Linked DNA regions of Drosophila melanogaster. The protein of the gene in region 1 interacts with the protein of each later gene in a pairwise test. Each region holds a gene or a part of one and is shown on either strand. Other genes may lie near its edges.

What was found.
Region 2: the proteins of mgr (region 1) and Pfdn5 interact in binary tests that used the Drosophila melanogaster proteins (3 or more experiments, as listed by UniProt).
Region 3: the proteins of mgr (region 1) and Elal interact in a two-hybrid assay, tested with the Drosophila melanogaster proteins (2 studies listed by BioGRID).
Region 4: the proteins of mgr (region 1) and Pfdn2 interact in binary tests that used the Drosophila melanogaster proteins (3 or more experiments, as listed by UniProt).

What each region holds. Positions count from the first base shown.
Region 1 is NT_033777.3:11,405,949-11,413,969, forward strand, and holds mgr (merry-go-round), read right to left. Parts: upstream 3,928-8,021; 5' UTR 3,821-3,927; coding exon 3,734-3,820; intron 3,657-3,733; coding exon 3,262-3,656; intron 3,201-3,261; coding exon 3,098-3,200; 3' UTR 2,844-3,097; downstream 1-2,843. Other genes in the region: mRpL40 (mitochondrial ribosomal protein L40), read left to right, coding at 2,043-2,068, 2,133-2,378, 2,438-2,756; Irbp (inverted repeat-binding protein), read left to right, coding at 4,190-4,862, 5,108-6,330; Ipo9 (importin 9), read left to right, coding at 6,746-6,884, 6,967-7,611, 7,666-8,021. UniProt on the Drosophila melanogaster protein: Binds specifically to cytosolic chaperonin (c-CPN) and transfers target proteins to it. Binds to nascent polypeptide chain and promotes folding in an environment in which there are many competing pathways for nonnative proteins.
Region 2 is NT_033777.3:22,483,139-22,490,905, reverse strand, and holds Pfdn5 (prefoldin 5), read right to left. Parts: upstream 3,868-7,767; 5' UTR 3,613-3,867; coding exon 3,514-3,612; intron 3,397-3,513; coding exon 3,187-3,396; intron 3,126-3,186; coding exon 2,928-3,125; 3' UTR 2,825-2,927; downstream 1-2,824. Other genes in the region: CCT1 (chaperonin containing TCP1 subunit 1), read left to right, coding at 1-38, 94-984, 1,048-1,603; CG5376 (uncharacterized protein), read left to right, coding at 2,024-2,221, 2,273-2,695, 2,756-2,824; Nrx-1 (neurexin 1), read right to left, coding at 7,050-7,767. UniProt on the Drosophila melanogaster protein: Binds specifically to cytosolic chaperonin (c-CPN) and transfers target proteins to it. Binds to nascent polypeptide chain and promotes folding in an environment in which there are many competing pathways for nonnative proteins.
Region 3 is NT_033777.3:24,861,141-24,870,140, reverse strand, and holds Elal (Elastin-like), read right to left. Parts: upstream 4,792-9,000; 5' UTR 4,772-4,791; coding exon 4,297-4,771; intron 4,130-4,296; coding exon 3,615-4,129; 3' UTR 2,490-3,614; downstream 1-2,489. Other genes in the region: CycB3 (cyclin B3), read left to right, coding at 1-1,340; Srg1 (Sting-regulated gene 1), read left to right, coding at 5,435-5,863; CG7016 (uncharacterized protein), read right to left, coding at 6,072-7,160; CG13640 (uncharacterized protein), read left to right, coding at 8,010-8,408.
Region 4 is NT_037436.4:11,071,022-11,078,692, reverse strand, and holds Pfdn2 (prefoldin 2), read left to right. Parts: upstream 1-4,304; 5' UTR 4,305-4,446; coding exon 4,447-4,577; intron 4,578-4,681; coding exon 4,682-4,982; 3' UTR 4,983-5,401; downstream 5,402-7,671. Other genes in the region: Noc1 (nucleolar complex protein 1), read right to left, coding at 54-295, 367-1,230, 1,290-2,864, 2,924-3,038, 3,104-3,832; Mocs1 (molybdenum cofactor synthesis 1), read right to left, coding at 5,536-6,131, 6,283-7,134, 7,564-7,642. UniProt on the Drosophila melanogaster protein: Binds specifically to cytosolic chaperonin (c-CPN) and transfers target proteins to it. Binds to nascent polypeptide chain and promotes folding in an environment in which there are many competing pathways for nonnative proteins.

The DNA.
Region 1 (8,021 bases):
GCTTACAACTTTTCAAACGAATTAAACCGTTTCGGCCAACCTTTAGGATTGACAAAAGATCGACTTGAGGAACACAGCCCCGCCCACTCTGCTCCGAAATTCAATGAGCGGGGGGGCGGGAGAATGCATCGTTTCGGTTGATGGATGCAAACGATCAAAAATGTATTGGCCCCCCCAAGGGCCAAGTGAAACCAAATCGAGCCAAGAAATTGATTTATGTTCAATTAAGCAAGCAAAAACAACATGCGAACATTTGAAAATTGTGAAATATAGAAAAATGAAAACTTTCAGTTAAAAGACAACAATAGACCGGAATGATTTCCAAGCAATAGTACAAACAACTTTAGAGATAACTTTTATAATGTAATTGTAAGCTAAGTGGTGGAAGAAGAGCTCCGGAAAATGCAAAAATGCGGGGATAAATGCCAAACTCTAGTAATCCTCGAAAATCCGGAGCTATATGAGTAATAAATGGGAAAAAAAACCCCGCGTACGCATATACGATTTACCCTAATTTATACTAAGTTGAGATTTAAACACACATTGATTTCAAATTTGATTAGTGCGAAGTAAGCGAAATTGAAGGCCAGCACAAGACGTTGACATTTTCGAAATTCCAACTTGACATACTACCGCAGGACCTTCTCTTCCGCAGAAGCTGAAGGCCAAGTAAAACGATTGAATCAAGTCACTTCACACACACAGTTTAAATTTATAAGAATATGTACTAACAATAGGAAACGTATCCCAATTTTCCAATTTCCCGATTTACCAACACCCAATCCCCTGTATCCCCTTGCCCCACAAAAAAACTCACACATTACTATTTACCACAATACGAAAAGAAAGCAAAGTAATGAAAAGAAAACCAAAAGTAATGGAAAAATAAAATCAAGCAAAGCAAACATATATGAATGTAATACGCGGTGGAAACATACAAAGTTGGGAAACGAGAAAATTTCACAATCGACTATGTCGCGTATACACTTACGATAGTACGATATACTAACTTTATATGATTAACTAACTCATTTCGAATGAACCATAGCGATATATGTATAAGCCACGTTTTGGTTTCGGTTTCGATTTCGGTTCCGTTTTATAAACTTTGGTTTGGTTTACACTTTTGGAAACTTCGGAAACGCATTTCAGGCCAACAAATTGAAAATAAACTTAGACTTTTGGACCAGTTTTGTTCCCGCTAAATCGGATAAATCGATCAAAATTGTACATTTAGCGCAAACGAAAAATTGCAATTAAATGATTAAAAGTCCCGAAAAACGGAAAATCGAAATTTGGATTTACATTTAGAGAATGCATTTAGCGCAAAGCAAAAGCAATCGACACCACACCACACGACACCATCACCACACAAAAATGAATGAAAATATGTATGAGGTAAATTCAGTATTTCGGATATAAGCGAATATAATAACATACAAATTTATATTTATGCAAGCGACAAAATCGATAGACATCGTACTAAAAATGTGTAATGGAATGGAAATTGTAAAACAAGAGGAAAACACTAAACTACAATATGACATTTTTAATCGAAAAAAAACAAAACTTATTTTATTGAAAAATTATGTAAAATTTACTAAGAAAAAAATACAAAAAAACACACAATAAAACTATATTGTTTATTTTCATCTTTAAAAATAAAGTTTTAAAATCGTATAAAAATAGTAAATGCATTGTTTTATCTTGGCAAAGTGAGTGGTAAGTACTGAAACAATATGGGAATATGAATAGCAGGCCTAAAATGTTGAAAAGTAGAAAATCTGAGAAAGATTTCGTTGTGCAACATGTCGTATGCGTAATTTGTATGGATATTTTGAAAATAACGTACTCAGATATTCGGCGGTATTTTTTCAGTATTTCCATATTTGCCGTCCTGTTTTCTACATTTTACATTGGACTTATCGATTTTCCAATTAGACTGGTCAATCGAGATAGGTCCATCGCTAGGACATTGAACAGCAACAAAAACAGCTGTTCGTACATTACGCAAAGGTTTTTTCCACATTTGTTTATTAAAAATGTCGCTGCTGGGCGCCTTTGCCAGGTAAGTGAATGCACCTGGTCCCTGGTCACACAATCACTCACTCCCCACCTGCCTTCTGTCTCAGATTGAGTCTGCAGAGAAGTGGCGGCGTCGCCGGTGCCGCCTTTGCACGTTGCCTCCACACGACACCAGTTCTTTGTGCGGAGCCCCTGAAGAAAAAGAAGAAACTGGATCCGCAGATTGTCAAGCAGCGCGAGGATCGCAAGAAGAAGAAGATCGAAAAGCAGATTCGCCGGCTGGAGAAGAATGCCCGTCAGCTGAAGCCCGTGGATGAACTGGAGGTTCCACTGGAGCTCATCGACGAAAAGGAGTAGGTTCTCATACGGGTTTCCCTCATATGCTGAGATGTAATGCTATCCTATCGTTCAGCAAACGGCAGCGGAAGCTAGCTCCACTGACCATCGACCAGTTGGAGGAACGTGCTCTCCTCAAGAAGCAGTGGGCGCACTACAAGCACGACGAGCGCGTAGCAGACTTTCAGATCATCGACCGGCTGGTCCAGGCGCAAAACAAGGCGCTGGCGGAACTTCGGCGCGAGTCCGAGGAGCTCTACCAGGCGGCCATCGATATCGATCCCCAGCTGCTGCCCGTCGCCGTCAAAGGACCCGTTGCCACGCCCCCCATTAAGGATTACGTCAGTCCCGATGGCGACTACCTGCACCAATCCATGAAGTGGGAGGTCAAATGAGGCGTGTAAGTTCCGGATGTTAAAGATTTGAAATAAACTGAACCCTAATCCTATGATTTGTGAATTCGGCTTTACTCTCAATGAATTGCGTTCGCCGTTTATTCGGTTTACATGCAGTTAAATGCCCGTAGCCAAATTAAAATATTACATTCCTCCGGAATAGGCATCTCGTTTGGAGTCAGCTTGATGCGTTTGTGTGGCGGTTTTATTGCTATCAGTGGAGAACAAGAATAAGCCAGGTGGAATCGCCTGCCGAGCCCTTGCGGTGTACTGTCGAAATAAATAAGATGCGAGTGGCTGCTACCGATGTTGATCTTGGGATGGGATTTGGGTGGGTCTCCTTAGGATGGGGTAGTGGCGGTGGTCTTGGTAGCGGCCTGCCGCTTTTTCACGCCCCAGTTGTAGACCCGCGCCATGTTCACCTCCGTAGTTGTGATTTGATCCCTAAAATATACATTTATAATACAATAAAACAAGTAACTTGAATAACAGCACTCGAACTGACCTCAGAAAATCCTGATCGTGCTCCACGGACTTTAGGTTGCCCACGGCCGATGTGATGTTCTGGTTCAGCAGAGCCTCCGCCTCGTCTAGCGGATACTCCAGCATCACGCTGGCCCCCAGCCAGAGGTATACTGTTTTCGTGGGCGGCACCAGTGTCTTGATGAACACCTGGTCGCTGAGCAGGAATTGCGTCTCGCGCTCCTCGTCCTCCTTGCGAAGCACATTGACCATTTCCAGGGAGCGCTCCAGGTCCGGAATTTGAGACTTCAACTTGCGCCGCCGCGCCTCCAGATTGCAGGCCATGAATCGATACTTGCCGTGCTGCTCGTCCAGTCGCTGCAGCACCTTTTCGCAATTTTCGTTCTCCGGCTGCGACATGAAGGTGTCGATCTCCTCCTGCAAGGGCCCAAGAACCACGAATTAGCCTGCAGTGTCCAGCTGCAGGTGCACGCTTGTAGGTTAGGACCACTCACCAGGAACACTGCCTCCGGGATGCCGGCGAAGGTCTTCTGGTTTTCCGGTAATTTGGGCATTTCCACCGAGTCCATTATTCCTGTCATCCTGTTGCCTTCAGCCGTGCCGTCTACAAATGCAATTTAATTTTCAGGAGGTCAGCCTGCCGCTGTAAAAGTCGATGAGTCAAAATTGCGATGGAACAATCGATTGAATGGCTGTCATCGAAAGGTGGTGGTCAACTTCGTATAAAAATGTAAAACTAACTTATATTAAAATAATTATATAAATAAACGTTGGGATAATATAATATGTTAAAAACATTAAATAATGTCTAAATAAATTTAAATATATATCAATTCTCTTCGTGACTCTCATCCCTAGCTCAATCGATAACAACAGCGACGATAAGCGCGCCCGCCTTCTTGTGAAATTAGCGGAAAGTCAGATTTTTAGCAATCTAAAGAAGCCGCATAATGAGCACCTGGAATCCGGAGAACGATGTGGACCTGCTGTCTGGGTCCGAGGACGAGGAGGATGTGTCCATGAAGCGGGACTACCATGGGCGCGAGGCCATTCTGTTCGTGGTAGACGCCAATCTTCAGACAGCCGGCGTGGAGCGCCTGTTGGAGGCACTGAACATCATCCGGACGGCCTTTATATCCGGACTTCTGGTTAACGACAAGGACCTCATCGGACTCATCTTCGCCAACACCAAGCACAGTCCGCCGCCGCTGGAAGCCAGTGCATTGGACAACATCGTAATGCCGGATAACTGCGCAGTGTTCTTGCCCCTTCGCCAACTAACCAAACCCATTGTGGAGCACTATCTGGAATTCATGGGCGGGGTGGAGACGCAGTTCGCCGATGTGTATGGCCTGGCGGAACCCGATGGTCGCGGCAGGTTTGACCTTATGATCCGGCTCTGCATCGAGATGCTGGAAAAGTGCGGCAAGAAGCTAAACAACGCCAAGATCGCCTATGTCACGGACGTCAGGGAACCTCATCCATCGAACAGCAATCACTTCCAGGCTGCCCTGCAAAAGGCCAGCGATCTGGAGGGCAAGGAGTTCGAGTTTCATGTCATTCCCATGGTCGATGACTTTGACTACGAGCCGTTTTACAAGGAGTTCATCACGTTGTCAAGAGGTAAGTCCTTTAAGTCTGCTATTCATTTCTTATGGGTTTTAATGTGCGAAGTCTGTTCCCCTGTTTGGCGTTCAATTTTCGCCTGAAAGGTTTTAAGACTTCGTAGATCAAATATAAGCAATCATTCACCCGCATCCAAGTGAAGCTCAATTGGTTCGTGGTTTTGGATTGGCTTACAAGAATAATAAAATAAATATATAGCAATCCGTACACTAGATGATGTTTAATGAGGACCTTTTTTGCAGCTATCGAACTGGACGCCTTCCAGGTGCCAGATGCCCAGATGCTGCGCGAAATCCTGTCCGATCGTAAGTTGAAGCAGGATTTCCTTCGCCGATGCCTGGGCCACTTCAGTTTTTATCTGGGCCCCAACCTATCCATGTCCGTACAGTACTACAATTACTTTCAGCGACGCGCCTATCCGCGCAAAGTGCAAATCCTGCGCAGGGACAACAGTGTGGTGCGTACTAAGCGAGTGATTACGGTGCAAAAACAAAAGGACGATGGCTCGCAGGATATCGAGCACGAGTATCAGATTAAGGTGACGGGCGGTTGGTACACTTGCAACGTGGGCGAAAGGGATCTGCGCATCAGCATGGATCAGTTGAACAGGGTGCGCAATCTGCACAAGCCGCAAATGATGCTGCTGGGCTTCAAGCATCGATCCTCTCTTCCCGAAGTTAGCTACATCAAGCCAGCGAATTTCATGTACCCCGATGATCAGAGCATCATCGGATCGAAGCGCTTGTTCCGCGCATTGTGGGAACGATGCTTGGTGCGCGACAAGATTGCCATTTGCCTGTTCATGTGCAAGCGCAAGTCGATACCTCGCTATGTGGCACTTGTGCCAGTAGAGGCCCCAGATAATGGGGAAGATAAGAACTATCGCTCTCTGCTCTGCGGTGACGGATTCAAGATTGTCTACTTGCCGGAGGCCAAGCACATCCGCCACCTAGACTTGCAGGACTGGAACAATACGGAAAACACTGCTGACGAACAGAAAGTCGAGTTTTTCCAAAAGATCATCAAGAAGCTGCGCGTTGACTATCAGCCGAATCTCATCAACGATCCAAGTCTGGACGCCCTGCAGGCGAATCTTCTGGCCCTCTCCCTGGACTTTTCGACAGATACTAAAGGACTCGATAATCTGCTGGACACTTCGCAACAGGACAAGCGCATAGAAAAGCTGCTGCCGGACTATGAAATGTTCGCTCCGGAAGCAGAACCCCATAAGAAGCGAGCAGCCAAGTCCACCACAGCGGGAGCGAGCGGTCCCAAAATGGCCAAGATCGATGATGATCAACTCAAGGAATTCGAATTCGTAAAGAGCCTGAACAAGGATGAGGCTCTGACGAGTTGCACGGCCGCCCAGTTGCATTTTATTCTGCAGCATCACTTCGATGTTACAATGCCCAAGTCGTCAAAGAAGGCAAAACTGGTCGCCAAAATCGAGGAACTACATAAGTAATTAAAATATTCCATACTTTGAGTGATAAATCTGTACCAATCTAGCTTGTATTAACCATTGGTAAACTTAGGATTAGAAAATAATGTTTTGTTGTCCGAATTGTTAATTAAATACATACCAACACATAATTACTTGTAAAATAAATTATTAAAATGTTGTTTTAAAAAAAATGTATATTCCATTACACAATAACAGAAAAGAAAAAAACGTAAAAATTGTACTGAGCAGGCTTAACATAGTAGTCAAGAATCCTTTTTAAAAATCGATTACTATCCAATCGTAAGTTTGTCATCACTAGTTTCGCACGAAGCAGTCTTGCAAAACGCCCGTTGACTACATGTGATAGCGCCGCGCCGGCTTCTTTTGTGCGAATTTGGGCATTACGAATTAATTTATTTCGAACCACGGCCGAAGAATGTCGCTGCAATTCCAAAACGACTGCGGGGACTCCGTTAAGCAAGCCATCATCGAGGAGCTGCAGAACCTACTTAGCTCGGACACAGGAGTCCTGCAGCAGACAGAAAAGAGGATCAAGCAGCTGGAGTACACGGAAGGTGATTTGGCGGGCAGCTGGATTGGCGTGGCTTGGGCGCGGTTCACATGTAGCCCTATTTTAACCATCTCATTCATTTGCAGGCTATGGCGTCTACCTGTCCGAGATCATTATGAACCAGGCGCACGAGCTGCCACTCCGTCAAATCGCGATCGTGATGCTCACTCGTTACGTGGAGAACCACTGGACGGATGACGATGATGTTAAAAGGAAAGCCAACGGTTGTATGGCCAGCGAGCAGGCCAAGCGAACCATACGAAACATTCTGCCAAACGGACTGTATGATCCCAATTCAAAGATACGCTCCTCAGTCGCGCATACCATCTCCACCATAGCCGCCACGGATTACCCACATTGTTGGGCGGAGCTGTTCGACATCATTGTCAAATGCCTGGGCGGCAATGAGGATTCCATACACGGTGCCATGCAGGTGCTGCAGGATTTCAGCTACGACGTGGAGCAAATCAAGGAACTGGGTCCAGTAGTCATACCCGAAGTCTATCGCATCTTCGACTCCGAGCAAAATTACTCGATCAAAACAAGAGTTTCGGCCATTCGCATCTTGAAGCCACTTTTTGCATCCATTGCTGCACTGATCACCAACAAAGAAGAGCAGAGCACCATGATGAGCTCCATTTTGACAAACTTTATGGACAAGCTTATGCATTACCTGAGCATGAATAGCGGCGCCGTTTCCAGTTTCCTGCTTCGCACGGAAATTATCAAGGGTGGGTTTCATTTCGTCTTTGCTGGAAAGTAAACTAAACTTGATCTCACTTTAGTGTTTACCCATTTGGTCAATGAGATGCCAAAGTACATCAACCCCTTTATGGACCGTGTTCTGCCCATTGTCTGGCAGCTACTCACACAAATAGCCGAGACTTACGTGAAGGTGTCGGTGAATCAGACTGAGACAAGTCCGCTGGCCAGCGGCGACAGCGAGGAGGATGACGAGCAGACCAATTTCCAATCACTGATCATCCAGATCCTTGAGTTCATCAACTGCATACTGACATGCAACAAACTACGTGGCAGCATCAAAAATGTGCTGGCCGACCTCATATACATAACCATTGTTTACATTCAGCTGAGCGAGGAGCAGTTGGAGGACTGGCATGATGATCCGGAGAAGTTCGTG
Region 2 (7,767 bases), about 11 Mb from region 1:
ATTCTGCGACTGCTGGAGGTGGAGCACCCGGCAGCCAAGTGAGTTGTTGATGTGGGAAATCTTTCAAAGAAGTACTCATTTCTAAATTTTAAGGGTCCTGGTTGAGCTGGCTCAGCTGCAGGACGAGGAGGTCGGCGATGGCACTACCTCGGTGGTTATCCTGGCCGCTGAGCTGCTGAAAAACGCCGACGAGCTGGTCAAGCAGAAGATTCATCCTACCTCCATAATCTCCGGCTACCGCATTGCCTGCAAGGAGGCCTGCAAGTACATCTCGGAGCATCTGACCGCTCCCGTTGATGAGCTGGGCCGCGATTCCCTGATTAACATTGCCAAGACCTCGATGAGCTCCAAGATCATTGGTGCTGACGCAGAGTTCTTCTCAGCCATGGTTGTGGACGCTGCCCAGTCGGTGAAAATCACAGATCCCCGTGGGCAGGCAGCCTATTCGATTAAAGCCATCAATGTCCTGAAGGCCCATGGCAAGTCTGCCAGGGAATCGGTGCTGATTCCCGGCTATGCCTTGAACTGCACAATTGCCTCCCAGCAGATGCCCAAGAAGATTGTGAACGCCAAGATTGCCTGCCTAGACTTCTCGCTGCAGAAGACCAAGATGAAGATGGGTGTCCAGGTCTTGATCAATGATCCCGACAAGCTGGAGGCTATTCGTGCCCGTGAGCTGGACATTACCAAGGAGCGCATCAACATGATCCTCGGAACCGGTGTCAATGTAGTACTGGTTAGCGGCGGCGTTGATGATTTGTGCATGAAGTACTTCGTTGAGGCTGGAGCCATGGCTGTGCGTCGTGTGAAGAAGAGCGATCTGAAGATCATTGCTAAGGCTACCGGCGCCGCCTTTATTACCTCGCTGACCAACATGGACGGTGAGGAGAGCTTCGATGCCTCAATGGTGGGAGAGGCCGCAGAGGTGGCCCAGGAGCGCATCTGCGATGATGAACTTATCCTCATCAAGGGCACTAAGGCACGGTAAGTGCAGATTATATCATGCAGTAACATAGTTTGCTTTATCGTATCCCTATGCCTTTTTAGTGCTGCCGCATCCATTATCTTGCGTGGTCCCAATGACTTCTACTGTGATGAGATGGAGCGCTCCGTCCACGACGCTCTGTGCGTGGTGAAGCGTGTGCTGGAGAGCAAGAAGGTTGTAGCCGGCGGCGGCTGTGTGGAGGCTGCTTTGTCGATCTACCTGGAGAACTTTGCCACCTCGCTGGCTTCCCGCGAACAGCTGGCCATTGCCGAATTCGCAAAGTCGCTGCTGGTCATTCCCAAGACTCTGTCCGTGAACGCGGCCAAGGATGCCACTGATCTAGTGGCCAAGCTCCGCTCCTACCACAACTCCAGCCAGACGAAGCCCGAGCGTTCGGATCTTAAGTGGACCGGTCTGGATCTGATCGAGGGAGTGGTAAGGGACAACAAGAAGGCTGGAGTTTTGGAGCCCGCCATGTCCAAGATCAAGTCGCTGAAGTTCGCCACGGAGGCCGCCATTACCATTTTGCGTATTGACGACATGATCAAGCTGAATCCGGAGGACAAGAGCGGCAAGAGTTACGCCGATGCATGCGCTGCCGGCGAGCTGGACGGTTAGACATTCTTCACCGCGAGCGAAGCACATTTCTTCTATCTTGTTTAGGCATTTAATTTTAATCAAATCACTCACTTTCAATTGTCGCCCCATTGATTGTAACAACAATTTAATTGTGTTGCCCTTCGCGATCTGTATTAACACCGCACATCCGCAATCCTTTCTCATCCATGCTTCAATGTATAATAAACTGATCTTCAGAATATGCTGAGGCGTAAACTAAATTGGAGGGAAACAGTTTGTTATTTCGGGAGAGCGATCTGGCCAAGAGCAGGCAGAGAGCGATCCGGAGAGTGGGATGTCCTATAAATAGAGCGTGCATCTATTTGGTCTATTAATACAAAAAGAAAACACATCCCAAAAAGCACGGAAAACGCACATTGCTCTACGAATTTTTATCATTTAAAAAGAATTCTTCATAAAATGGCCGATCATAACGAAGATGAAGCTGTTGGCGGTGACCTAAACAACAATATAACAGCAAATGGGCAGGAGGAAGTGCGTCAGCCGGAGCAGCCGCAGAACGAACTGCTGGACATGGTTTTCACGTTGGAAAGCGAAAAACAGGCACTACTAGAGGAGTCTCGCAAACGGATCGGAGCGCTCCGCAAAGACTTTGAGGTTAGTTACTCGTCTCCACGGGCTGCACCCACTTACTGACCCTGATTGCAGGAAGCCAAGGCGGAAAATGAGCGTTTAAAGCGGAGAGTGGTCCAGTTGGAGCAGTCGCTCAAGCAGTCCGTCATGCTGGGCGGCACAGATGCTCCCAAATCACGACAAGAGCAGGAGGAGCTGCTTCTAAAGGCCAAAACCCTGCTGTTCGAGAAGACCAAGGTGAACAAACAGCAGGAGCAGCAGATATCAGTGCTTAGGACACAAGTAGACTCGATTAAGGATGTGCTGCAGGTGACCAAGGACATGTTGCAGCTAAAGACCGCCGAATGTGATCACACGCAGGCTCGTCTGGAGAAGAGCCAGCAGTGGATCAAGGCGGAGCAAGACAAGTGTGTGCTCACGGAGAAGAAACTAGCCATCTCCAAAGGAGTGTATGACAAGCTGCGTTCGGAGTACGACACCCAGTCACAGATATTCAAGGTGCCTTATAACTCGAGTCCAATGATATACTTGATATACTATTACCTTCTTTCCCTACAGGATCTTAAGTCCGCGTACGAGCAGAAGGTCAAGGTTCTCACCAAGGCTTTGGCAGAAGCCAAGAAATAGCTGAACAATTTAATAAACTACGTTAATTAAATGCACACATCTCGTTAATAAGTTTAATAATTTAATGCTTTCCGTGTCTCGTGTCTCTGTCGTTCTCCGTAGTCTAGGAGCTCTGGGTAACCGCCGGCTGCGATTGCTGCTGCGACTGCAATTTCGCTGCAGCAGCCTGCTTCATCTCCAGCACACTCATCACTGAGTTATAGAAGCGCGTCTTTTGCAGGTGGATCTTTTCGATTTTCTCGATCTGCTCCTGCACGTACTCCACGCGTCGCTTGAAGTAGTCTTTGGAGCCTTCCAGATCCTGTTTGAGAAACAGATGGCAATCAATAAATATTCTAGGTTCGATTGGAAATGTAAATCACCTTTTCAATGTAGTAGCCGGTGCCGATGTCTATGACGAACCTGTTGAGATCCTTGACCCGTCCTGGCACATACATACTGCTGGTCAGGGGCACCAGGATCTGACGGTTCTCCCAATTGGGTTGAAAGGTTCCCAGCGCCTCCTTGGATCCGGCGTACTTGGCTTGACAGCCGTGAAGCGTCGACAGCGAGTCCTGTACGTTGGTAATCTCCTAAGGATCACAAAAATGTACCGATTTTAGAAGCATGTGCCAATTGGGGCGCCCCTCCTCCAGAAACCCCCTCCGCGAGCACACTTGACTCATCACACACCCACATGCGGAACGCACCTGCTCGAACTCCTGCTTGATCTGAATCAGCTGTTCCGGACTCAACTTGGTCAGGTCGATCATCTCGGACTTGGCGGGTGCGCTTGGGGTGGCAGCCATTGCTAGTGCTTACACTTATAATTTACAATTCCACTTTTATTTTATTCAGTCGCCGTATAAGGTTGCCACCTTTGCGTATTCAACTCAACAGGGATGTCATGAAGCTGGGTCAGAAAATATCGATTTCACGGAAGCAATCGGGAATCGAATGATTCGTTGAAATAGTCGGTAGTCCAGTCCCGCCGACGATTTGTTATCGAGTACTAAGCGCGAAGTAAAAATTTAAAAAAAAAATCAGTGACTTCTGAATCTACAATATCTTTTGAGTTTAAAGACAGATCTTACTCAGCAAAAAAGCATTAACCAAACTTGTTTTTCAATTATAGTTTTATTGTATTTATTATATGCAATGTTATAATTCTGTGTTTTGTCAGTCATTCTGTATTTGTATGCGTTTTACAATTTTTGTTTTTGGTTTTCTCGTAAATTATAAAATCTAACACAAAACAAAGCAATTTCTTTAACAATCACTGCCGCTACATATACACGTTACAATTTGTTAAATATATATATATTTATATATATATAAGTAGGCACAGCTCAAGCGCCGCGCATCCAATACATGTTCATATACATATTCTCTGTTATATGTGGGGTGTTGTATGTCGGTTTTTATATATGTATAGATTAGATAACAATGATTTTAAGCCTAAGTAGAAGTAAGTTTTAGTTCCGATACTTGCGATCGTTCCCCTCTATATGCGCTCCCACTCGCAATCGCTGCTCCTCCGATCCTTGAACTATTAAGTTATATGCTTTAACTATGTTATTTTACCCATACAACTAACTGTACTCGTCCTTCGCGATCCTCCCACTATATCATACATACATAACATTTACCTTGATTTGGTTTTGATCTTAATAAAATGTAATTCGTTTTGAAACAATGAAGAAGATCTTGCTTTTGAGGGCGTGTCGATTCGATTTCTTAATCGCGGATATTTTAAGCTCCCCATCTGGATTTTGGATTCAATATCGTGTGCTCGCTGTTAAATCGCAAGGCAAATTTGTATAATTAGTTATATATAATTTGGTTTTCTCTTGAATCGAAACGAATAAACGTTAGTGGTTTACTTTAAATGCAGAGTTTTCATTGTGCAGCATTAACATTGTGAAGAGATAGAGAGAAAGTTGTCGGGAGAGAGTGTTACATTTATAAGTGGGAATGGTTTTGGTTATCAACAGCGTTAAAATTTGTGGTTTCTTTTCGTTTGGTTTCATTATCAAATCGAAGGGACGTAATTCGTAATAATAATCATTGATCGTTAAACATACTCGTACGTTATATGGTATGCATGTATGTATATTTTGTATAGATGTACATTTATAAATAGTATAGTTTGAATGTATGCGTGTATGTCCTGTATATATAGTTGTGTTTATGTACTGTACTGTACTGTATGTACTGTATGTACTGTGTTTCGCTATGTACTTGTAATTGTAATTGTCCTAGGTGTTCATTTCAGCTAGATTCGCTAGTTTGTCTCGTGTTTTCGCTTTCGCTTCCTTTTTGTATACAAGATAAGGGTTTAAAAAACTCGAAAATATATCAAAAGTTTCTTGAAATGCAGTATATATATGTTTTTTAGTTGTTAAATATATATATATATATTCATGTATATATAGTACTTTCCTAGGTATTTACAGCATACCTTGCCTTGGTTTCCATTAAGAATTCGAGAGAAGTATGTCCAGTAATTTCGCTAGTGATCGAATGCGTGAGTTGGTGATTGTGTGAGTGAGGTGAGTGTGCGTGTATTAGTAGTAGTATATCGAGTGTATATAGGTATTTTGTATATCTAATCCAAAATGATACACTAATTGGTATTGATAGTGAGACAAAAATTTTAATATAGCGCATCAAAATGATATATGCGATTATTAATATGTATACAGAATTTAATGGCGGCTTGCTGAATATCGAATTTCGCGTCTATGTATGTGTGCTTGTGTAATAGTATGTGGGTGTAAGCTGTGAGTGTGCTGGTGACTGCTGATTGTGTATACGTCACGTGGGCTTCGAAAAATACGCTTAAAGCTGCTATAATACTGTAAAATTGTTGCTTGATTTCCTCATTAGTCGACGGTAAAGTAATGTTCGCTCACATTGAATAGCAGTTGTTGTAGAAAAGCTAGGTAGGTTCGCTTCAGTGTCTTCGAATTTTGCGTGTGTGTTAGAGTGTTTCGTGTGTAAGTGTGCTAGTGTGTGTGTCTTGTCTTTTCCTTGATATGTCTGAGTTCATATTGCACGCAGATCGGTGACAATATTTAGTCTCAAATACATATAAAAAGTATATGTGTGGGGCTCGGGAGTGGAAGGGACTAACTCAAAGTAGCATCGAGTTGCTGCACGCAAACGAAAAAGTCGCATCACGTATATGTCAACCAAATCGTGGGTTTCTACTGTTTCCTCCGTATTATCGTGTTTGATTTCGTTTCGTTATCCTTTAGGTTTACCACTATCTCATTTACATTTTAACTAATTAAAGCCGGTTTCAATTCAACAAACAATCTGTAGCATAAATTCTTGCATTCCCCGTCATCATTATTATTATTATTACTATTATTGTAGTCAACCAAAGTTTGTCTCCTACGTTTACAGCACCACATTTTGTAACTTTACACGCGAAGAAAAAACCCACTCAGAACCTCATTACTTTACGTTTACATATAAATATATATATTTAAGTACGTTTATATTGAATTTCTGCTAAATTGTTTAGTGGTTTCGCTAGAAGATTTGCAGTTTAATTAGTTTTGCTTTCGGTTTTGGGCCGTCTTCCTTCGATCTTTTCATAGCATACTTTGTGGCGAAATATTTTACACAATTACTTGATTGGCTAGTGGCATAATTTATCGTAACGCTGTGATATATATAATATATATAGTTTTATACGTTTAGTGTAATTTGCTTATTCGCTGATGGTTGTGGCTGCTCTCCAGTGGTAGTGGTATCTATTAGCAAGTCTTGAGTTGAAGCTATAATTTCTTAGGCGTAATCTAAACGTTACCTTTGCTGTGAACCAATGCTCCTGGCCAGATGCACTTGTCTAAAGTATTTGCGTGTCTATCTGCTATCTGCTATCGGTTATCTGCTACCGGCTATCTGCTCTATCTGCTTGCTGCTAACGTTATCAGCCATCGTGAATCGCGTGATGCCCACCTACCGAGCTGCGCAAGGCGCCATCTACATATTATTATCCTTCCGTCCACTTCCGTTTCCGTTTGTACACCCAATGTCCGACTGCGTCCGCTTCTAATTGTTTAATTAACGTTACGAGGCTGCTAAATAAATATATTTATATACGCTTATGTGTGTGTTTTTTTTTTTTTTTGTTTCTCGTATCTTAGGGGGACTTTTACTTTCACTTTCACTTTCGGCTCACTTTGCACTATTAATTGCTAATTTGACGATATTTCCCTGCGACCATGCCGCCTTACACATACCACTCCTTGACGTCCTTGGAGTCGCGTTTCTTGGCCTTCGGCTGCACCAGGCCCGCCATCTGGGGTCGCCCATCGCTGCCATAGCCAAGTGACCCACTTCCGCTGGACATCATGCCGCCACCGCCGCCGCCTCCTCCATTTCCATTACCATTGTGCCCATTGTGCATCTGCTGTTGGGCATGATGCTGCTGTTGCCCTGCACCTCCACCGCCTCCGCCACCATGCATATGGTGCTGCCGCTGCTGGTGGTACGATCCATTGGTGCTAGTATTTCCCAGGAGTGCAGCATTCGGATTGTGGGAACCGTAGGCGGCCGCCTTCTCGCTCTCCGTCTTGTAGCCACGATCGCCATTCGACTTGAGCCACAGGACCAGCAGGATGACCAGCACCACTGCGATCAGTATGCCCGCCACTATGCCGATTATCATGGCGGTACGCTCCTCCTCGATCGAGTTAATTCTGCCGCCCTTACCCTTTGGACGGTAGTTGTTCATGTTGGTGTTGTACGTGTTGCCGCCATAAGGTCCGTACGGAGGTGGATCTTGCGGCGGAATGGGTGGCGGCAACGGTGGCAGTGGGTGGTGCTCGTCCGGCAGCTGCATGCGATCGTGATCATTTCGCCCGGACCCACCCATGCCGCCACCAGCTATATAAATATCATAGGGCGTGGTTTCCCGCTCGGTGACCGTACTCCGGATCTCCGGTGGC
Region 3 (9,000 bases), about 13 Mb from region 1:
GTAAGATGACTACGCGCGCCTCCAGTAAAGTGGAGGATTCGGTGGAGAACTGCCACAAAGTGCTCGATAAGCTGGAAGAGGCGTTGGCCAGGCCCAAACCGCGCCCCAAGGCAGTGCCTGCCGCAAAAAAGACCGTTTTGGGGGAGGTTCAGCTACCGGCCATGCCAAATCCTATGCAGATTCCCGTTTTACTGCCGCCCACGCACAATCTGGCTGCTCCCCAGGTTGCCGCCGTCAAGCCAGTTCGTCGGATCTCCAATGACTTCAACAAGACTGAGGACAGCCTGTACATGTCCGCGCTGGAGGATGTCTCCAGTTGCGACTCCATGCGGCTGTCTGGAAACTTTGAGGCGGCGCGACGTCGCTCCGCCAAGTTGCAGCAAAAGACTGAGCAGCAGCCACAGCCGCTGTTGCTGACACTCCCAGAGACTGCTCCAAGCCAGGTGGTGCCCATTCCGCCAGTGCCCGAGGAAGTAGAGGACTTCGACCGCAAGAACTGGGACGATCCCTTCCAGGTGTCCCACTACGCCATGGATATATTCAACTACCTCAAAGTGCGCGAAGCGGAATTCCCCATTGCCGACTATATGCCCAGGCAGATCCATCTGACCACCTGGATGCGCACCCTGTTGGTCGACTGGATGGTGGAGGTGCAGGAAACGTTCGAGCTGAACCACGAGACTCTGTACCTAGCGGTTAAGATCGTCGATCTGTATCTCTGCCGCGAGGTGATCAACAAAGAGAAGCTGCAACTTCTGGGCGCCGCTGCCTTCTTTATTGCCTGCAAGTACGATGAGCGACAGCCGCCGCTTATAGAGGATTTTTTGTATATCTGCGATGGTGCTTATAATCACGACGAGCTGGTGCGAATGGAGCGGGAGACGCTGCGCGTTATCAAGTACGATCTGGGCATCCCGCTCTCGTACCGTTTCCTGCGCCGCTATGCCCGATGCGCCAAGGTGCCTATGCCCACGCTGACCCTGGCTCGATACATCCTGGAATTGTCGCTCATGGATTACGCCAATATTTCGTTCAGTGACTCGCAGATGGCTTCGGCCGCACTGTTCATGGCACTGCGTATGCACGGCGGTCCGGGGCAGCTGGACAAGCAGACGTGGACATCGACGCTTATCTACTACACCGGCTATCAATTGGCGGACTTTGCTGAAATTGTGACCGCGCTCAATGCAGGACTGCATCGCAAGCCACGGGCCACCATCAAGACGATACGGAACAAGTACTCGCACAAAATATTCCACGAGGTGGCCAAGGTGCCGCTGCTGACGAACCAGGAGCTCTTCCAGGGCAACCTTGACCTGAACGAAAGCAATCTGTCGTAGGACAGCCTCAAAGTTTAGCCAAATTCAACATGATACGATACGCTTCACTTAGGCTCTAAGACGCTTCTATTCCCAATATTAGCCCCATCCCGACGAAACAGCGGATCCCCGCCTTAATCTAAAAACCCCTGATTTTACCCCTTACCTAGTGTTCCCGTCAAGTCCTCGCAATTTATTATATTTTAATTATTATTGTGACCTTCGCATTATTGACATGTTTTTTGCATAAATATTATGTTAAGAGTGCTTTTGTTTCTTTTTGCCATGTATTATTGTTTAATTTTCCCACATACCGCATACGTAGCCGAACACAATCAATCTAAACTCGAAAGGCGACATTATCTTTAGCACCCCCACCCAAAAAATCCCAAAACGATTCATGTTTTAATATGTACGTTAGTCTTAAGAGATGCCAGCATTAAATAAACCTAACTCGTAAGCCACCAAAGCAGACACGGATCCCCACTAACTTATTCTACACAGATACACAAACGCAAGGATACGAAGCGACTATGAAAGGCACGTGTGTCCCGTACAACCTGGAAATGCGCTGCGATCAACCCTCGTCCCGTGCACGCCATGTACGCCATGTGCATCTGTTCCTGTCGTCGTTATTAATGCTGTTATTTGTTAAGTCGTTCATGGACTCCCCTCCTTGCGCTCACATTCCCGCCCCTCGAAGGACGCTCACCATCAACTTCCCAGTTCCTGATCATACCGCCCCGCCCCGCCCTGCCTCAGTTCACCTCGTTTATCCATGGATGGTTGATAACGTTGCATTGTTGAAGTAACTAGTTATGTATGTACTCAGTGTTATGTATGTATCGTTTTGCGAGAGAATACCAATAAACATTTTTACGTCCGTTCAAAAATACTTCAATCTTTTTACCATCATTACATTCGGAAAACGGTGGGCGAAGTGAAAAAATTCTTACTTTTAATAGGGTAAGTGCAATAAATTCGTATTTTTATTTTTCTTTCTAGAAAACTCTTTTAAAAACCTGATGGAAGTTTCAAAATCGGGTGAGTATTAACTCAGATATAACTAGTTGAATGCAATTGTAGTATCATTAGTGTTTATGTTTACTTTAAATAAGTATTTTAAATTAGCTGTCTTTATCCAGCATGTTGGAAATGATCCTAGTTCCTAGGGGATTAAATAATTTAGGGCATTATTTTCAATTTCCTAGAATCTGGAATGTATGTATTTGTTGCAGTTCAATCTTTAATTGTTAGAAACAGAGCATAAACTCCTAGATGTCAAAGGTTAAGGGAAAACGTTTAGCACATCTAGACTTCTTTGCCGTGAGTATACCCATTACCCCACCCATTCTAATTCCTTTGTTTCGAATCCTCTCAGCTGAATCTGTGCTCCTTTCTCCGCGCTCATCATAGAACAGCTGATGGCTGATGACCTAAGGACATCAAACCCTGGCTGGAATCGGTTCGATTTGCTACAGGTAAAAACCACCGATACCGTCCGTCCAAATCATTCATAATCCATGAGTGTAAGTGTCTGTCTGTATACTCGTAGTCTGTATACCCCGGGCATGATTCTCTCGAGTTTCCTGCGGTTCCTTGCTTTTGGCGCGCTCGTCCGTCATTTTAGCGCCAAAAATTTGTTAAGGATTTGCGCGGCAGGCTGCGCATGCGCCGCAAGACATCAAGACGTCGTCCCTTGGTTGGGTTCCTTTCCTTTCCTTCGGCCCTCTCTTTTCCGCTGCACAGCGAAACCCAGCCGATTTATGTCGCTGCAGTTGGGTCCAGCGAAGGGCACCAGGAGTACCAATACCAGTAACAGCGTCTCTCTCTGACGCTGATTTTCTACCACCACCTTTGGCTCGCCCAGAGTCCTGCCTTTGTGCGTTCCCTTTTTTTCGGCTGCCTGCCAGCCAGGTAGCTCCTGTCGTCTTCGATTGTGTCCACGCCGGATAAAAGAAGCGGCATTGCCATAAGAATAAGGAAAAGAATAAGGATGGGATGTGAATGTCTTGGGTTAGCTGTCTGTATGGGAGCAGAATGCCGAGTGCATGTGCTTTATTTTTTCCGGTTCAAGGTGCAACTGGTAACTGGCCAGCATTGCTAATTATCTTGGTTGGGTGTGCAGAAATCAAGTTTATTTCGCAGGGACACACAGGATGATAGGCAAAGACAGCTGCCTCTGGCCAAGGAGGCAGCAGCGAAGTTATGACTACGACTCGGATTACTTCACGCCCCACCAACACCATTACCACTACCACCACCACCGAGGTCCACCCATGATGTCGGCCAGCTTCAGTAGGCCGGCGAGTTGAAGGCACCGTTGTATCCGCCCCCATATCCACTGCCATAGCCAAAGGCATTGTGATTGTTCAGCACTCCAAATGGTCCCTTGTGGACGCCATCCTCCTTGTACTCGGTGTTCATCGAGAAATGATGGTCCCAATGGCTCGGATCAGCGGGATTGTGAGCCGGATAGCGATGATAGTTCATGCCGCTGGTGGCAGGAGCCTGACCAGCTGCTCCGGGCACTCCTGCCACTCCAGGTGCTCCCGGAACTCCAGCTACTCCAGGAACTCCTGGTTGAGCCACAGCTCCGGGTAGCACTCCATAGGCGGGGAACTGGGCTGGTTGAGGGTACGCTGGGTACTGTGGCAAGTATACTCCGGGGTAGGGATAGCCAGGATAGGCACCAGTTCCCGGGAAGTAACCAGGTGCTCCTGCACCCACTGGCTGCTGGGGAGGAACTCCCACCGGATACTGAGCAGGAACTGCTCCAGCAACAGGATAGCCAGGAGGAGAAACAGCACCTAAAAAGGGGACATTTCATTAATATCATAATTTCATATATATTTCAAAATGTGGATTTGCTATTCACCAATCTTTTAAATTTTGTATAACTTTTTTGGGAGTTAAGACTTGATATTAGTTTTCTGATTTCACTAAGATAAATGAACCACCTATTAGAAGGACCTACCTGCACTTTGGTAACCACCGGATGATGAGGATCCTCCTGAAGAGCCTCCTGCAGCTGGGTACGGAACTGGAGCCTGTTGTCCAGGAAAACCCGGAGGCGGATAAGCGGGAATCTGGTGACCTCCTGTAATTGTGAGTGCCGGATTTGGTGACTGGTTGCCAGGAAAAACAACGGAGTTCGTACTGGCCACTCGTACGCCAGAGCCACCCTGCTCATGGCCATGGGCATCGTCGATGGATCCAGTTGCGCCCGCATAACCCGATCCCAGCTGACCAAGGCCAGGATAAAGTTGCGAATTGAGATTGGCCCGCTGGCGATGGCGACTGCTGGTAATGCCTCCCGTCAGAGTGGAGGCCAGGTTAAACTCCGTCTTCTGATCCTCCTGACTTTCGTCCCTGCTGAATTGCGAGGCCTGACCGCTGGCTATCTGGATGAGGGCCAGAGCGGCGAATGCGATGACCCTCCTGCTTAACATGGCGTCTTTGGGTACACTAAAGCCCAGAAGCTCACGGCGCGTGTATTTCATGGTGAGATCTGATGACACGAGAGCTTAGCTGAGTGTCTATTTTTGGGGTTATCATCAGGGGCTCAATGCCCAGATATGTAGTTTAAGTCTCATTGAGTGTTCTTTCTAGTAAATTGAATGAGAGAGTCTACACTGAAAGCAAAAGTTGAAAATATAACACAACAATGTGCATATGCATAGATACTAGCCATAAATTTGAACAAATAAATGAATTTTTTAAAGAAATACCCATATACAAATTTATAAATATAAATGTTATATATAAATTTCTTGCAATGTATAAATTTGCGGCCTAAAGCCAAGTAATAGATAAGTTGAGACGCATTTTTGGTTTAGGGATTTCCCAAGCAATTCATAACTCATCTTTGCATAGATGATGATCATGAGTTATGATCCTCCCTTTATATAGAGAACGAAAGCTTTCCCAGTCAACCTTGTTTACCAGTCAATAGATTAGTATTATAAGTACATATGTACATATAGCATTTGTTCCATTACCCAAGGTTCTTCCACTCGATTCCATTCATCTTTCTTATCGCCATGTGCTGCTGCTGGCTATAAAAGCCGCATGGACATTGGGACTATCAGCAAAATTGCTCTACATATCCCAAGATGCAGTTGTTGGCTGCGATTCTAGTGCTAATCCTGGCCAGCTTGGCCCACGGTAGACCCACTTTCGATAAGATTGCGGAGCTTCTGTTCGGCGACCCAAATCATTATCCGCCAGCAAGGCCAGTTGATCCACAGCTACATCCTGGACCAGGTCCACTCATCCAGGAGGGCTACGAGCAGGGCTACGACTATCACTATGGTGGAGGCTACGGCTACGGTGGTAGCCACCAGCAGACGCATCCAGGTGGCTATGCCTATTACCCACCACGACCGGTTCCGGCAGCAAATGACTACTATCCACCACCTTGGTCAGTGCGTCCTTCGCCTGGATACTACTCTCAGCCGTCTCATCCTGCCAGTGTCCATTATCCGCACAAGAATCAGGATCTTTACGGAGGTGGAGGTGGTTACAAGCAGCGGGGTTACTAACGTTCATCCGTCAGATACCCCAGTCTCATCCAATCATGTGCTGTCTCATTTGTTTATGTGTAATTTATTAAAATTTCGTTTATTTCCAACGAGCTTTTAGAACCTGTTTTGAACTTATGACAAAGACGATCTCGGGTGGAGCAATTGAACAATGGTCTACGAATATATATACAACAAGTGTGAATCGGGGAACTCCCTCTTAGAAGATTCATCTTCGTCTCACATCAATGGGAATTGAGGGAACCTCCGGGTTTGGCACATGGATATATTTGCTAGAGCTGGGGAATATAATAGCACGATTTTCGGAGAGTTCGTCCAATGGTTTTGGCAATGGCTCCGGCACGATCCAAGTGGGAAAAGTGGGCGTGGGTGGATCCGGATTATGGGGCGGCACCAACGGCGGTCGATTGGTTCCTATTATGAGCGTATCCTTCGTTGGCTGAGCGGTTGGACGTGGCTGGATCGTGGGAAAGGTGGGCTCTGGCTTAGGTGTTGTCGTTGGAAAGATGGGTCCTGGTATTGGCGTTTGTGGAGTGGTGCTAGACTCATTATCTGGATTCCAATTCGTGTTTGGATCATTGGGATCCGGCTGATCGGGGAGGCGTGGATAGTTATCCCATTCCTGTTCCATCCCTCCATTCCAGCCTGGCCTTGGTGGCGGAGGTCCTCCGCCATTCCATCCTGGCCTTGGTGGCGGTGGCCCTCCTCCATTCCAGCCTGGCATCGGTGGTGGTGGCCCGCCGCCGTTCCATCCTGGTCTTGGCGGCGGTGGTCCGCCGCCGTTAAAACCTGGTCTTGGTGGAGGTCCTCTTCCACCGCCTCCGTTCCATCCTGGACCATTCCATCCTGGTCCTTGCCCTCCACCTCCATTCCAGCCTGGTGCAAATCCTGTTTGAACCCAGTCAAATCCGGGTTGATTCTGATTTCCACCGGCTCCCCACTGCCAGCCGGGTGGCCAGCCAGGAGGCGTCGGTTGCTGACGGTTGGGTGGTGCAAATCCTGGTCTGTGCATTCCTCCTCGATTCGGACCCATCCCCGGCCTTCCTTGCTGCAGTCTCTCGAACTGCGGCTGCTGGTTGAAGCGGTTGTTGTTGTGCATGGCATTGATCAGTCCATTGATAACTCCGAAACCGGGCAGCTGGGCCACCACAGTGACGCCACCGGCGGAGGCAACAGCTCCGCCGGCGGAGGACGAGGAGACTGCAAATTGCGCGAGACACGTGCGTATCCAGATGGATGCCAAAAGCCAGACGAGCCAGGCCTGGCCAGCACACCAAGCTGGCGAAGATCGCGTCATGTTCGGGTGTTCGAGCAGTGATCACCACAAAAGGCGGACTCTAACTGAGGGGGAACTTTTACGCTCCGCCTATGCGATAATCGTTGATGCTTGATTAAACATTGAAAACCTGTCCGGCGATCAGTGAGAGCATGATGAAAATCAGTGTCCGCAACCAGAGAGATCTTAACCGCTCTCCAAAATAGGTCTCAGAGAGATGATCATAATAATAATCAGACGAAAAGTAAACAAACACCTGAAGCTTGAAAACAAAAATTGAGATACATATATAGTATGTAGTATACAGATTGAAGTATAAAAGAATAAGAGATACAGGCGATGAAAGAGATACTTCAAGTGATGAAAAATCCATAATAGAGGAATAAATGGAAGGGACTTACTAGTAGTATCCGTCCAGTCTTTACAGATCTCTGTATGTTAGTGTTATATTTTAATTAATTCAAATTCTTATTTGAAGTACACTCATACGATCTCAGCAGTGTGTATTTATATGGAAGTTTATATAATGGTTGGGGTATGAGATGTCCGTTGTATACTGACCATCTACCATCTGCGATAGCTCAGTCTTCCAGCGGATGAAGCGTGCTCCGCATGCTGATCGTGCCAATCCGCGTGCTATAATAAATCCAGCATAATGCATTAAGTCGCTTGCCCATTGGCCACGCTAATCTTCCAGAGATTCCGACTGTGTTTATGGGAATAAGAAGTCGTAAAAAAAAAGAATTGAAATGAGCTAGACCACAATGTGTCACCATCACAATGTGCCCAACTCCAATCCACAAGGGTATAAATAGAGGGAACTGCGTAGATGAACTGTCAGAACTGGAAGTGATTCGAAATCGAAGCAAGATGAGATCCCGCGATTCCCGATTGACTATCCTAACATTGCTGATTGCGTGCTGCCTGGATTCGAGTGGCGCTCTGTTCTTCAAGTCCTGGAAGACGGGAAAAGGATATACTGGATATAGTGGAGTACAAGACTATGGAGGCTACGGTCAGGGAAACTACGGCTATGGAAGCTATGCTGGAGGATATGGTTACAACTATCCCGCATATAATTCCTACTCTTACCCAGCTTACTCAGGCCACTCCTCTTACTCATACTCCAAAGGAGGACGCAAGCCTTCTGGAAACCGCAAAGGACGCACTTACTCGGACATTCGAAGAGTTATAAATCCCGATCCATACATCGGTCCTGGAGGCAGTCGCTTCCTGCCCCGTACTCCATATTCCGCCCTTTGGGGTTAACGATTCGACCGTCTGAACTCGCATTGTTGTCAGCAGTATTAGCCATTAAAATAAAATCAGCGAAAGTTACATCTAACCACAAGCTGTTAATTATTTTAAGCACTTTAAGCCCGCTACATGTGCGTACGTGTATATTAATCTACGATCAACTGATTTATGATCATCAGCCCGCATTTGCGGAGTAGTCGCGTCCAGTGGATCGCCGGAACGTGATGGTAATTGTAATGAAATGGAGGCGCGACATCGTTTCATGTGGGGATTGGGACAGTGGGGTAGTGGGTAAGGTCCCTGACTGGGATCTCACACCAAGGGATTTCTTTGGGGTAATACCTAACCATATCTGTTATGCACGACAGAATATTCTGATTCTGTATTCTCATGGCTGACAAATATTTTAATAAGCGACTAATAATTGTAGTTGATCGAACGAATCATTGACTAAATATCCCCTAAATAATGAGTTTCGCATAACTGGAAAATTGGCAAATGAATAGCTCAATTATTTTTATAGTTTTCTTATTACATCAACCTTTGTAAAGCCGTAAGTATTGCCGGAAGAAGCTTAATGCCAAAATCATTTAATAACCTGCTA
Region 4 (7,671 bases), on another chromosome or scaffold:
TTTACAACTTTACAACCACTTAAATGGAGTAGAGTTTGATAATCGAGTTTAGTTTAGTGTTTTCGTTTCTTGCCCGCTTTCTGTGGTCTACCGCCTTTGGCCGCTGGTTTGCCGGCGAACTTCTTGCCCTTGTAGGATTTGGAGTTCGATCGTCGGTTTTCTTCCCATTTCAATTGTTTGTCGGAGGACTTGTCCTTGTTAAAGACGGCATTGCTGGTTCCCTGACCCTTTACCTTGGCCGTCTCCTCCAGCAGCGAAGAGAAGTCATCGGCGGCAGCAAACAGAGAGGACATATCTAAGGATGTTGAAAAAGTACATACATTAATAACCTCATGACTACCGTTGAATTCTAAATCGATATCTTACCGTGACTCTGTTTGAGTGTTTTGGCAAAGCTTCGTCCTCCCACCATGTCGGTGGAGTCTTTGCGGGATTTTTTGGATCTCGGTGGTGCATCTTCGTCGTCGTCATCCTCTTCGTCTGGACTCTCAGGAGCATCGCTTGAATCACTGTCGCCAGGGCCGCCTTCTGAAATCGAGCCCTCATCGTCATCATCATCATCATCATCGTCGTCGTCATCAAGTGGCTGCAAATCAATCGAGCCCGTTTCATCATCGGACTGATCTTCGCCCTCAATTTCATCATCTTCATCTTCTGCCAAGTCGTCATCACCCCAGTCGTCATCAATATCGTCCATTTCATCTTCCGCCTTGTCGGACTGCTTCTTCTTTTTCTTATCCTTGGACTTATCCTTCTTTATCTCGCCACCCAGCTCCTGCAGGAAGTTCAGCTCCTCTTCATCCTGCTCTTCGTCGACACCTTCCTTGAACTTCTTGCCGAAATATCCATCCAAATAGGCCTCGAACTCATCGTCATCTACTTCGCCCTCCTTCAGGTATTCCTCTCCAGCCTCGCCATCATCTCCCTCTTCTGCGGCGTCCTTCTTGATCTCCTTTTGCTTTTTGTTCTGCGCCACAATTTCCGCCTGTCTACGTTTATGCTCCAAGAAGTTGAAGATGAACATCTCGTCCTCGGTACAGTTGGCCTTGGTCAGCGATTTCACTGGTCTTCCTCGCGCTCCGTGAGCCATGTATCGCTTGTGTGCCACGGTAGCATTTTCCGCTGCTTGTGAAGCTTCCAGCTTTTTCGGATTCTTAAAGGCGAAACGTTCCAAAAAGTGGGGCAATCCGAAATCTCTGAGCGGATCACCATAGTAATCAATGCGTGATTCTAAAAAAATCGAAAGGGTTTATAAAAGGCTATGAATAGAAACCTAATGGAATACTCACGCTGAAGAATCTGTTCGGCGAAGACCTGAACGGTGGGATGGTAGTGTTGCCGCAGCAACAACAGTTCATGGCGGAGTGCATATGCAGCTCCTGCAAAAGCGGGCACTCGATGGTACGGATCGTACTTGCAGGAATCAATATCCCGCACCTTGGCCTCTGTGGCAGCCACACGGGCATGATGCCAGGATGATGCACTTGACTTAACATCATTGTCTGCCTTCTCCTCCAATGGATTGGAGTCCTTAGTATCATCCGCCTCATCTTTAACATCCTCGTAGACCTCCTCATCGTCGCTACCGAACTTGTCCAGATCCGCACTGATTGGTAGAACAACTTTGGAACCTTCCTCCACTTCCTCAGAAGCTCCAGTGCCGCCAATTAGCTCACGGCGCATGCGCAGCAACTTGTGGATGACGATTAAACAACCAGCTGCAATGTGCGGTGGAGCGTATAGGGTCAACTGCAGCAGACGCTTCACGAATGCCTGGGCCCTGGCCACATGGTTGTCGATGTGGATGGCACGATGTACAATATGCAGTAGATGAGCCGCCGTTTTGCTACCCACATTAATTAGGTTCAGATCCAGCAGCTTTACATATAAAGCATTATAAAACCGATCCGATTTCTCAGTTTTTACTGCAACCAATTGCAGCAGCAGGCCGAGAGTCTGTACAGCGACCCTAATGTCAGCCAAGTGGACCAATCGGTAGATGGTGTCCTGCATTTCCTTGGTGAGTAATTCCCCATTGCTATCCTTTGCCGGCTTAGCCTCCACGATAGCTTTTTGCAAGCATCGAAGGATGGCCTGCATGGTCCTATTATTTACGGCTCCCTTCTGCACGAGAACCTTGAAGAGGGCAAAGCATATATTGACCAACTTGGTGCAGACTTCGGGCCGGCCAGAGGGTGCGATGCTGGAGAGGAAGCACAGTGCAAAGTGCTGCGCTCGCTCGGAAATATTGTTACGGAAAAGTAGCTTCTCCGCTTCGGCAACAATAACACCGCACATGTTCGGATGTTTCTGGGCCACCTCGCTGAGGTGATGCAACGCCTTGGAGGCAATCTTGGCGATGGGATCGCCCAGTTTGTTTACCAGCATGGTTAGCAGCAGCTGCTCCTTTTCGGGAGCATAGGCCAACAGCCTGGCTGCTGACACAATAGAGGAGTTCTTATTGTGTTCCTGTCCAGTCTGCAGGCCCTGCATAACGTTCTTCAAGAACTCGTGGTACTGATCCTTTAATTCGCTCTCAAAATGCCAGTACGCGTAAATGCGGCGCTTCTGTTCGTTGCGCAAATTCTCATCCTTTTTCAGCTTTTTCCAATCAGCACCACGTGTGTGCACCGCCAGGAGTTTTCTGTTTGGCGGGAGCAGCACCTCCTGCCACAAATCCGTGAGCACTGCAATCACATCATTGCTGGCCTTGTTGGAGATCTTGCAGAAGCCAATTAAAGTGCTCAATGCTTCCAAATTGCCCAGTGGATTGCTCGTCACCAGAAGGGCGCCCGCATTGGCCCGATCCTTTGCAGTACCCTTGTGCAGAGCGGTTTGCAACCAGCGAGCATCCGAGGGATTACCTAAAGATGAGATAAAAACATTAGTAGGGGTTCCAATTTCCGAGTCGAGAAAGTCTTACGTTTATTAAAAGTTATCTTCTCCGCTTCGAAGGAATTCTTGCAGAGATTGTACAGCTCCAGCTGATCGTTCTCCTTCATGTCCAGCACCTCATCGGTGGACGGATAGTCGGGATGCTAAGATACGATAGTGATAACTATAAATGATTTATTTCCACGATTTCAGTTTAGTTTCAACATACCACATGATACCACTTCTTTTGGGACTCCTCGTCTTCATCTATTTTTGACTGATATTTGTTGTGCTTTTTGGAAATGGAGTCCCCCAGTTCCTCATCACTGTCTCCATCGCTGTCGGATACATTTTTTCCAGCTCCATCCTCATCAAACTTGATTCGTTGGGGCTTTTTAAAGTTCTCCTTGGACTCTCCGTCATCTCCAAACTTGATTTTTTGGGACTTCTTGGTCGGTTCCGTCTTTGTGTTGGAAGAATTCGCAGTTACTTCATCTTCTCCATCATCAGTGAACTTGATTTTCTGAGGTTTATTGGCGAAGTCCGACTTTTGACCATTATGTTTATGGTTGTTTTTGTTGAAAGGTTTTTGATGCACTGCTTCTCTATCCTCTCCAAATTTGATTTTCTGTGGTTTTGGTCCATTTTTATGATTTTGGTTGAACGACTTGGAAGCTACTTGTTCTCCATCATCGCCGAACTTTATTCTCTGTGGTTTGTTGGCAAAATCCGGCTTTTGGTGGTTCTTATTAAAGGACTTAGCACCTTTCGCTTTTCCATCCTCTCCAAACTTAATTTTCTGCGGCTTTTTCACCTGTTCCTTCCCTTCAAATTTTGGCCTTTGTGGGTGCTCCTTTTTGTTTTGTTTAACTACCGCCTCGCCGGAGTCGTCGAACACGATTTTCTTGTTTTTGGGCGGTCCACCGAATTGCACACCTGTGGCCACTGCTGCCGGCATGATTTTATATTTTCTAAAGCTATATATTAGATAAAAATCATTAAATAAAATAAACGGCGTTAGAAACAACTCGCACGTGTATTCAAATATGACATTCACCGCGAAACGTAAGCAACATATGTATGTCGTCTACTTAGTGACGAATTTCATTGTCTTTATGATATTAAAATTTTGTATTTAAAATCTTAAATAAGAGAGTATCCAACTTAGTTTTAAAATTTATAAATTATTCAGTAATTACCATTGAAATGACCGTGACTTTTGATAGCAGGTGGGTTTGAAGTTATATAAAGCTTGAAGTTATTATAATCTGATTATAAGTAAGAATAAAATTGAAATTCTTATATAGAATTACTATTAATTTATAAATTATTACATTAACTTATGTTTAAGTAACTGAAGTTGTGCTATATTTTCTTTTACCGTTACACCATTTTTCCACAATACATTTACGGTCTTACTGCCTTGACGCGCTTGGGATTTGTTAGGACGTTTATCGCATAGTCCTCGTGTTCGGTCTCGTATTTTGAAAGAAAATCGCAGATTATCGCCAATTTGAAGCGATTATCCCGGTCTAGATTTCGAAGGGGTCCTTTTGGATAGCGAACATTGCAATGAGCACCGAATCGGCGAAGCCGGCACTCAGCCAGGAGGCCATTGTGGCCCAGTTCCAACAGCTGCGCAATGAGCAGCGCAATTTGGTCAACAGTTTAAATACGCTCGAAATGGATTTGAGGGAACACAAGTGAGTCACCGGGGGCCCAAAGATGGATGACACGTCTGTTTGTGATTTTGGGCAAGTGGGAGAATCCCTGCAGACACAATGACATAACTCCTTATCCTCCCTAGAACTGTGATAGAAACTCTGGAGGCGGCGGATCCCGAACGGAAATGCTTTCGTCAAATTGGTGGTGTGCTGTGCGAAAGGACCGTGAAGGAGGTGCTGCCACAGCTGGTGGAGAACAAGGATTTCATCGCCAAGACCATCCAAATGGTCACCAATGACCTGAGCAAAAAGGGCAGTGAGCTGAACAAGTTCAAGGAGGAGCACAATATCAAGATTCGCGGCGAACACTTGGTTGCCGAAGGAGCCAAGGGCGACGATGCGGAGGACAAGGCGGAGAACCGTAATGTCCTGGTGTTCAACTGAGAGCGATTGATTACCTCACCACACCGTATTTATTGTGTCTATGTTGAGAGGGAACTCTGCCAGGATTTGCGAGCGATAATCCGCGTTTATTGAACACTTCTAATGTTGTATGTACTTCTAGCTGTAAGGCGCAGTTCGCGAAACGCCTCCAATCGCACCTTCACACCAACACTATCCATCAATTCCCCTCATTTAAACTTAACCCACTCTGGCCACGAATTAAAGATACCTTAAACTTCCGATTGAAATTAGTCATGTGTCTTGTGATTCATTCAAGATCTGAAAATGGATGGACCTCTATCCACCGACTGGAAACAAAAACTATATAAACTATATGATTATTTATCCCTTTTATGCCATTTGTTCTGAAACATTTTATTGGTATGTTAGTCAAATTAGTTTCCTATAAGGAAGTGATTTCATCTACATTTTTACACTTATGTATTCTTGCTTCATAAGTCTTTTAATTTAATATTTGTGGCTAAATCAAGTAAGCAGTAGTTTATTTTCCATTCCCCGTATCGTGGTTAATCCGGTTAGTCGGGTATTCGACTTATTCGACTTCTGTAACTATCCCATTTTGCGGCTCCTCCCTCTGGAAGTCCCTTTTTCCGCCGGATTTGCTTAGCAGGCGGACATTTGTGATGCAGATATCGTGAGAAACAGCCTTGCACATGTCGTACACAGTTAAAGCGGCCACTGAAACTGCAGTTAGTGCCTCCATCTCGACTCCAGTTTGGCCCGAGCAGCGAACGGTTGCCTCCAGCCGCACAGATTGTTCGGTTTTCAGAAGAGTGGCCTGCACTTTCACGGAGGACAAGCTGATGTTGTGACACAGGGGTATCAGTTCGGCGGTTCGCTTAGCGCCCATTATGCCAGCAATTTGGGCTACGGTTAGAACATCTCCCTTGGCCACTTGATTGTCGGCTATAAGTTGGGTAAGTTTCTCACCCACCTGAACGGTGGCCTCTGCACGAGCTAATCTTGTGGTCGAAGGTTTTGCGCCCACATCCACCATTTGGGCCTTGCCCTGGCCATCGACATGGGTGAGTTGGCTGTAATTTCGGGCCTGAAGCTGCAGCCTTGAAGTATGATATGCGTGGTGATACGAATAAGGATGAAGATGATGATGGAGTCTTGGCGCAGCATCTGCAACGGGAGAGGGGAGAGAGTGTGGTGTGTCTACTAGCCGCCAATGAGTATCATGGGCCGGTTCTCCATCTGCGACAGGTTCAGCATGCCTGCGAAGGAGTACCAAGTTCTGAAGACTTTCTACGTTTCATTCGGAATCGAAACTCACCTGCATGCTGTTTCTTCTTACGCTGGACGGCTGCTCCAATGAGATCCACCAACTGTTCCTCGCTAACACTCTCATCTCGCATGGCATCTCTCAACGAGAACTCTTTGTTGCCAAACAAGCACACCTTTATGTTTCCATCCGCAGTGAGTCGCAATCTATTGCAGGTACCACAAAAGTGTTCCGTCATGGAGGTGATGAAACCGACCTGACCCTTAAATCCCGGAACTGCATAGGCTTTAGAAGTGTCATTAGGTCCATTGGGAAGGGCCTTGAAGTCTGGCCACCTTTGTCGAATGATTTGCAGGGTATCTTTATACGAAATGAGCCTCTCTGTATGCCACTTGTTTCCGGAGAATGGCATGTACTCTATGAACCGCACATCTACCGGACGATTCCTGGTGAACTCAACAAAATCACAGATTTCATCCTCGTTGAAATCCCGCATAAGGACGCAGTTCACCTTGGGGCGATAGCCCAATTGGACAGCTAAATCAATGCCGGCTATCACCCGCTCCCATCCTTTTCGCCTGGTGATCTTCTCAAAGCGATCCCTTTTCAGCGTATCCAGACTGATGTTCAGGTTATCTAGTCCAGCTCTCTGGAGCGGCAACAGCAGGCGTGTCAGCACCAGGCCATTGGTGGTAATTCCGATTTGCTCCAGTTCGGGTAGTGCTTTCATTTGTGCCACTATCTCTACGATATCCCTGCGCACAGTTGGCTCTCCGCCGGTCAAGCGGATCTTTCGCACTCCCTGCTCCACGAAAATTCGAGCTAGACGAAGGATTTCCTCGGTGGTCAGGAGTTTGTTTTTCGGCTGTAGCGGAACGCCTTCAGCGGGCATGCAGTAGTCGCCTGAAAATATGACCACATTATAGTTATAATAGAATTTTCCAATTGGAATTTAATAAAAGTTAACTGAAGAGTATCATGGAAGTTTCTCGAATTCAAGTTAAGAACATTAAATTATCTAATATCAATGGGGGGTTTGCTATCTATCAGTAATCGAAATCAGAAACGTTGTTAATGTCGCCAAAATTATCTGATTATAATAGCAGCTACAAATGAAATTAGACCATCTGCTCTAATTTGTCAACAATTGGCTGATATGGTTGGACTCCATAACTATTATGTTGACCGCAGTTGTGCGTGTGTAAGACACGAATTTCGCCACATTATTCAATCAAGGCTGGGATCCACTTCACTGCGAGTATTATCAAATAGGTAAAACAATAACAGGGCAAACTGATAAGGGTCGAAAACATAGGTGGTTGGTTTACTTACATCGCAGATTGCAGCGTTCGGTTAGAGAAATTCTCAAATAGGTGTGATGCCGGCCAAAGGAGTCCGTGAGTGGCGAATTCTGGTTAAATTTTCGATTAGCGAAATCGA